Nothobranchius furzeri: one gene and its partner. The protein of the gene in region 2 purifies or fractionates together with the protein of the main gene of each other region. This does not show direct contact. Links are inferred from orthologs where the notes say so. Each region holds a gene or a part of one and is shown on either strand. Other genes may lie near its edges.

What was found. Proteins that work in one complex are often made in the same cells at the same time.
Region 1: the proteins of chaf1a (region 2) and cbx3a purify together in Homo sapiens (affinity purification with mass spectrometry; 5 studies listed by BioGRID and IntAct, with this or other methods). This does not show direct contact. The link is inferred for Nothobranchius furzeri from reciprocal best matches to the Homo sapiens genes CHAF1A and CBX3.

The regions. Positions count from the first base shown.
Region 1 is NC_091751.1:29,401,820-29,405,652, forward strand, and holds cbx3a (chromobox protein homolog 3a), read left to right. Parts: upstream 1-1,246; 5' UTR 1,247-1,395; intron 1,396-1,408; exon of another isoform or gene 1,409-1,726; intron 1,727-1,909; 5' UTR 1,910-1,913; coding exon 1,914-2,056; intron 2,057-2,205; coding exon 2,206-2,362; intron 2,363-2,465; coding exon 2,466-2,560; intron 2,561-2,807; coding exon 2,808-2,934; 3' UTR 2,935-3,295; downstream 3,296-3,833.
Region 2 is NC_091748.1:48,298,884-48,303,043, forward strand, and holds the start of chaf1a (chromatin assembly factor 1 subunit A), read right to left. Parts: upstream 2,839-4,160; 5' UTR 2,629-2,838; coding exon 2,565-2,628; intron 1,447-2,564; coding exon 1,399-1,446; intron 1-1,398. Other genes in the region: scamp4 (secretory carrier-associated membrane protein 4), read left to right, coding at 4,029-4,101. UniProt on the Homo sapiens protein: Acts as a component of the histone chaperone complex chromatin assembly factor 1 (CAF-1), which assembles histone octamers onto DNA during replication and repair.

The DNA.
Region 1 (3,833 bases), on a different chromosome or scaffold from region 2:
ATTCTGGAAAACATAATTTCTCACTTTTCCCATAAAGATGCTTCTAAATGGCACAAAAAGGCAAACTTTACTCATCTGCTGACCCTTTTGTGCTTTACTTAAGTCAGCTGATCTGACATGAATCCCCTCACATCTACTAAAGCACAACCTCACCTAAAAATAACTTTAGAACAGAAGAAATCCCCTGTCATGCAAAATATGTTATCCACTCGCTACACAAACAAGAATGATTGTTGTCTGTTTATATGTTTGGGATTATTAGAGAATGCAATATGACAGGCTGAGTGTTTGATTACACTAGGGCAGGGGTGTCCAATCCTGGTCCTCGAGGGCCGTTATCCAGCACGTTTTTCGTTTTAACCTGCTTCAGCACACCTGATTTCAATCAGCAGGTGATTAACAGGCTTCTGCAGAGCCTGATGAGCTGCTGCACAGGTGATTCAACCAGCTAATCAAGCATTTTGAAGCAGAAAAACCACAAAACCTGCTGGTTACTGGCTCTCCAGGACCAGGATTGGACTCCCCTGCACTAGGGAGTGTATAAACTTAATTGTGATCCAAAGATCATGTTTTCTCTTTGTCCTGGTTTAAACGTTTATTTGTGTGCATTTCACTTTCATACATCTTGTTTTTTCATGCATGAGTCACATTTGTCTGTCTGTTTGCGGTGATTATTGAAAAGATAAATCTGATTGAAGAATACTTGATTTCTTTATTAAAAACATTTAAATAATGTCTTGTTTTGTCTGGCTAACAGGTTATATATACCATTACTGTTATGGTGCTGCGTGCTGGTGAGCATATCAACATTATTTTCCTCACCTGAGCTGAACACCTGTGTTGACCGGCATCATTTCAGGACAGAAGGCAGACAGATTTATTAAAATATGGCTGTAAAGCATATTTAACAAATACTCGTTCAAAATCACAAGCCAGTCATTTACGGTATTCAGTAGAAAGTAAAAGAAATTGTTTCACTCAGTCTGAGAACAATCTAAACAACTTGAGACATCAGGTGCTCAATTTAATCTGAATTCAGCATTAGCATTATGACTTTGGGGTCAATTTGTTAAATTTTTCATTTTTGAACAATCTGAAAAAGAAAATGATTGCTAGTGTTTATGCTTTATTCCTTCCACTACTTTATAGTTTAAAACATATATAAACGTTTTCATTTACTACCAACGTGTCTCAGATTGCGTTAACTAGCGGCTTGAAGCCTTGGTTCATGAAAAGGGCCCTTCTGGAACACATGGGTCAGCTCGGCTGCAGACGAATCGCTTTTCCTTCTGGGCTTCCGTAGCCACAACTAGTTTTTGGCGCCGCCTTCGTTGTGGGATCGACTTCATCCGAGCGGCGTGGTGCTGAACAACTATAGAAATCCGCGCGCTTTGGGTGAGTGTGCGGAGTTCTTCTCTTTTAAAACAATGTTGAGTATTTCTTTAATTACATCAGGCTACTCTGAGCGTGTTAAAACGCCACCTATACGTTGCTGGTTTTTTGACAAACAGCAGTTTAGTTGTTGACCCAGCAGCGTTAGCATCGCCATTGTTTAGCTATTACTGTAATATGTTAAGCTAGCTGAAAGTAAGGCAAGTAAGGTGTTGTTTTGTGGGGATGTGTTGTAGTTTTACCACAGTTTTTATTTTATCTTTTACAATTCTACTAATTCTGTTGCTCAAATAAAATCCGCAGATGAGACTGTTTAAAATCAAGGAAATTTTAGGTAAGGGGTCAGCGTGTTAGCAACCTTTGTTACGTTTAGCTGCTAAATGCTGAGCTAACTAGCAGGTGGGCCAAATTAGAGTAATGTCCTATGTTAGCGTTGGCTGAGTTATTTGTAGCCTAGCATCCGGGTGGATTTAAGGCCTTCCGAATAAATGCGGCTCGTCTTTTTATCTTTAAAAAGCAAAATGGGCAAGAAACAGAATACAAAGCCTAAGAAGGAGACCGAGACCCAGGAGGAGCCTGAAGAATTTGTTGTGGAGAAAGTGTTGGACCAGCGGATCGTCAACGGGAAAGTAGAGTTCTACCTGAAGTGGAAAGGCTTCACAGAGTGAGTTACCCGGGACAATGTCCTGCTCTCTCCGCCTCTAACGCACCGTGGCTGCATGAAGCCTCCCAGCTTTTCCCTTTTAACACGTTTGGGATGTTTTTGGTTTGAACGCTAACCTGTTTTTTTTTTTTTTTTTTTTGCTCCCTCAGAGCGGACAACACCTGGGAACCCGAGGATAACCTGGACTGCCCCGAGCTCATTCAGGCCTTTCTGGATTCCCAGAAGAATATAAAGGAGAAGCCGGCTGCAGTGAAGAGGAAGGCCTCCACAGATGATGCAGAAGAGGAACCCAAGAAGAAAGATGTGGTTAGATTATACGTTTTTTATGTCTCTGACCTGCTAGCATGATTCCCTGTAGGTTGTGCAATCAGAATATGGTTTATAACCTGTTTTTGTTTTTATTTGACAGCCTGATAAGCCTCGCGGCTTTGCCAGGAACCTGGAGCCAGAGCGAATCATTGGTGCCACAGACAGCAGCGGGGAGCTGATGTTCTTGATGAAGTGGTGAGTTAGGCAGACTTTACACCCAATTTCAACAAGAGTAGTTTCACATTTACCTCGGTTGCTTTGCATGGCCATTAGTGTTTTTTTAGGGAGTCGAACTAAAAGCGGAAAAGGTTTATTACAAACATGTAGAGTATTTAGAAATAAAATCACTTGAATATATATAATTTATTTCTTTGATTTTTAAATAGGCTTTTCTAAGATCTGCTGTTTTATTTTAGTTTTTATTTATTTTTTTGTCCCCCAGGAAAGAGTCAGATGAAGCAGACTTGGTCCCTGCTCGTGAGGCCAACACGCGCTGCCCTCAGGTGGTCATATCCTTCTATGAGGAGCGGCTGACGTGGCATTCCTGTCCAGAGGATGAGGCTCAGTAGCCTTTGCCTGGATTCTGCACACCTTTATGTTTTAGGTTTTTATTGTGTTCTCTGTTCTGCTTTTTTTTTTCTTCTTTAGCTACTTTAGCTGATTTGAGACAAAATCATTTGTATGGCAGTTGGGGTATTGTAGATTAAAAGTTTGTCAAAGCAGGTGACTGGGTTGGATATAAGATTAGTCAAAAAGCGATAATGTCAGTCCACATTCCAATTTGTTTATTTTTTTTACTTGAGTCTATGTCAACCTTTTTGAGTTCAGTTAAATGTTTTGTTCCTTGATGCAAGTGCCGACGTGTTTGAAATGAACGCTTTGTTTACAGTTTGTAAATATAAAGTTCAAATAAAGGTTTTATGTGGCCTAGTTTTACCCTCTTCATTTGTAGTTTAGGACAAATGCATACAGAAAAAAGAAAACCTAAATGTTGCTTTATTAAAAGTGTCACAGCCAGCTGAGTGGTTCTGTCAGGGTATCAATCCTTGGCCTACATCAGAATGTTATTTTGGCAGCAGCATTCTGATCTCCTTAGAGGAACAGTGGTGAGATATTTATCCAAGGAGGACCATGAATGTCCACACCTGTCTGGAGCTCTATCAGCTGCTCATTCTGTTCTGCACTTGGTGTAAATGAGGCTTCAGTCTGCTGGTTCTCAGTAATGGATAATGGTTGGTTTCTTCTATAACCACTTGTAAAGACACATTATGGAGTTTATTTTAAAAGTAACTGGTCACATGTTAACAGCTATTTGCCTGTCGGAGATGTTAAACTTCCAAAAAAGCCTGGAACAGCTGGCAGGAAGTGTTGATGAATGGAAACATTTAAAGGAGACTAAAATCAGTCCAACCATAGTTTTACCTGTCATTTGATCATTGCATCTCACCTAATGATGCTCACACTAAAA
Region 2 (4,160 bases):
TTTATAACCGTGTCTGATGCGTTTGTTCTTCAAAACTGATAAACGTAAAAAAAGATCTAACCTTTAAGAACAAAGAGTTAAAGTTCCTAAACTTTCAGAGTTTAATCTCCGGTCTGGAATCACGCTGAGACAAACACAGCGGAGTGGAGCTTATTTTAGACACGTAGCTGTTGTGTATCTGCAAATTAGACTGGGTTGGAGATGAGATGTAAAAAAATATTTGGAAAAACCTAAATAAAAAATACATCCGATTTTTTATGTGCATGCATTTTTATTTATTTGGTACAAACTATAAATATAAAAAACAAATTATTCATTTATTATTAATAACATGTAACATTTTTGAGCACTTAATGTCACATTATTAATAAAACCTGACAGGCGCTTTATCTGGTGTGTGAGTCGGTTGCTCTTCAAACTTTTATTAATGTAGAAACACTTTGTCCAATTATTAACAGCTAATAATTAATTTATGTAGCCACTTAAAGATTATATGTTCACCATCAAAACTAGAGATAACCGATATGGGTTTTTCTAACGCCAATGTCGATAGGCAGAGGTCAGGGTCAGCCGATAAGTGCTGCTGATTCTTTTCGGCTAATTTTCATGGCTGACTTGAGATTTTTCACATGATCAAAATGACACAAATAACAACGGCAGATGTGAGTAATATTTCTGAACCTGAATCAGTTTTTGAACACTGAGTTGAACTAACTGTGGAATATTTGTTTTGTGTACTCCTCAGTATTAAAATAAAACATTTAACCAAAGTTTATAAAACAAAGATTCAGGAACATAAATATACAGATGTGCCAACTTTAAATTGGATTTACTAAAGAGATATATCAGCCGATGCCAATGTATAAGGTGAATATGGGCCTGATAGTATCGGTTTACCCCTAATCACAACTCACCGTTATGTTTTCAGACATATCCATACTTGTTTATGTTTATTCGCGTTTATGTTTATTTATTTAGCAGACGCTTTTATCCAAAGCGACTTACAATTTATAACCTATAGGGCATGCTGTGATCTGTGGGGGAAACCGGAGTACCCGGAGGAAACCCACGCATGCATGGGGAGAACATGCAACTCCATGCAGAAAGGCCACAGCCGAGTTTCGAACCTGCGACCTTCGTGCTGCGAGGCAACGGTGCTAACAACTGCGCCACCATGCAGCCTACTTGGTCAGTCTCATCCATACGTTTCCTATCACCCGTCACAATCTCTAGGTTACTGTCAAAGATTGCATAATTGACCCCAAACTGTTTTATTCTTGACTAATAGATTTAAAACTAAATAAAATAGTGTAGTTTATATATGTGCATCATTTTTATGAACGTGGGTGTTTTATTTTTTCTTCAGTGTTTGATCTTATGTAAATAATACATATTTACCTTGAATTAGTTTCTTGCTGGCATTATTACTTGACTTACAATCCATTCCTGAAAAGAGCAAAAACAATTTTTTAAAATACGATTATATGCAAAGTTGAAATACATTTCAGCTTATTAAAGATGATGACTTATTAGGCTAAAGGCGCCAAGTCTCAACTGTAAAAGCTAAAAGGATTCAAGCTTTTCATTTTAAAAATACCACAAAACTGATCAGACTTCAGTAAAACTCATCAAACTAAACACAATTACAATACCTGTGAATCTATTCGTTAACATCCTTGTAAAAATATAGTAATGGATTAATCATGGATGAACAATATGTTTGTGTAGTTTTGGCATTACTACCATAAGCAAAGCTAAACTGAAGGGTGCAGCTGTGCAGCCCTGGTTCTCTGTGCCGTCGCTGTGCTAACAGTAAAGTATCCCTGCTGGTGCAGCTCGGCTCGCTCTCCCGCCAACTACTGTGTCAACCGGTACTGCAGGCCCGAGTCTACAGGGCCAACACCTCCGGTCTGTCAGGCAGAGATTTGGTTGCCTTCTACGGACGACAGAAAACGTAGGAAATAAGAAAAACGGCTGCAATGTGACAGAATGATGGCAAACGCAAAACCACTGGCGTGTGTGTGACAGTCCGAGGACTAGAGGAGCTTTGACAGCTCCAATATAAAAGTAGCTTTCATGTTAGGTGTTAGCTTTGAGACCCTGATGCATGCTACATACCTAGCTGTGTCTAATCAAACTAGCCAGCAACTTTGAAGGACAATCCGTGAGCTACCAAAGCATTTGTCATTGTAGCATAGCAAGACTTGGTCGATGTGTAACCAGTCTATGGCAAATGCGACAAAGTTCCCACAACTGGTGTTTGGTCAAATAATAACATCCATTCTGTGAGACCGCTAGCTTTACGCAGAAGTTGTGCTGTAACGTTTATAAATTGGCATTTGGTGCAAAAACATAATTCAGTACAGAAGATCGGTGAAAGCTCTGCTGTGAAAAGGTTAGCGTTGACAAATTTGAAATTGTACAACATATATATATTTAATCGTTGATGCAATTTACTTATACTCCATACAAACAAAATAGCACAGCAGTTCTTCCACTATGACATTACTAAAACTTCGAGTAATCGATCATAATGTCGGTACACTGCCATGATGATTTTTTACCTCTTCTGCGGGGAGTCGATGCTGACAAATGTCCGTCCACAGATGCGTTTTCGGCTGCCAACATCCCAACTACTAACCCGGGGCTTTTCACGATCACGGTGTTAACGACAAAAACAACTTTAACACACCGCTAGATATAATGTTAACACAAACCAGTGCCTTTTAATATTACAAAACTATTGTGTCCTTATTTAAATGGCCTGCAATCTCATTTTATAACAGATAAAACATAGCTAAAACTCTTTCCGTGCCTCCGAAGTGGTCCCTTGGTCTACCCCGACGTCTGCCTCGCGCTCCAGAGTCGGAATTGGCGGGAGCCGGCTGCTTCCATCAATAACCTTCGCTGATTGGTCTAAAACGTTCCTCTGGTTCTGCAGAGTATGCTCGATTTGAACAACGGGTCTGCACGTTTGTGTCAACCTTCACGTTATGTGAAGCTTTTTGAACTTTAGAGAAAGAAAGGTTGAAAATACTTTATGATTTATATATTTTCCTCAATAATAAAGCCTGTAACGTTTTAGAAACAAGTGATCTATTTAATAAATTGCACTTTAAGCGCATACTATCCACCCGGTAATGGGACACTCTGTACCACGAAACGAAACGTAGCAGATTCATTTCTAAAGACACTCCTTCCAGTTGATGTTTCAGGATCAGTGATTGGGTGATAGGATTGACTTTTTTTTTTTACAATCTTTATTTAATACAACTTCAAAAACAAAAAAGCACATACCACAAATAATACCAACAAAAAGCAACAATAAACACAACAAAGCAAATGGAAAAAAGTTTAAATCATGTCAGGGATTTTAAAATTCAATAAATGTGGACAAAAACAAGCAGATAAAACTTTAGAAGTCATCTGCCTTGTGTTGGCCCTGAAGAGAACCCAATCATGAAAACTGTTCTGTTAAAAGAGGGCGTGTATATATATATATATATATATATATAAACTTAAGCACATTGAATTTCAAACCAAGGATATTTCAGTTTATGTTATCCTCAAATTTTGATTGATAATAATTTCATATGAAACGTGTTGACTAGATTTTAATGATTCGTTATTGTGAACCTGACTCAAGATGGCGCCAAATCCACATGTTGACCATTCTCAATTGAATAAGCTCATTTTCATTTTAACATACTTTTTTTATTTTTAAGTACACCGCAAACATTAGCATGTTTGTGTCAGTGAGAAAGTTGTCTTATGTCAAATACTGCATACAAGCGTTGCATACAAGCGTTTTAATTATATAAAATTTGCAACCATAATTCACACACTAGGAAGTGGGCGGGATACATTTGAACTGAGTCGTACCAATCGGTCATAGATGGACGTCGTTTATCATGTTGTCACGCGTTTTCCGTTATCGCTCAAGCCTTTGCAGGGATATGTAGTTTTTCAGAAGGGCAAATGCGTTAAGTACTGACGTTAAAAAACTACAAAGCCGTCAGTTGTGGCGCATGCGTGAAACGTTTGAAGGGGGTCGAAAAAGCGCATCCTGGATTATCCATTCCTGCGGTTGTCGACGGAAACGTGAGTAAAATAAACCTTGTCCCGGTAAAACGGGCTTATTTTCTTAATATCTAAGATTA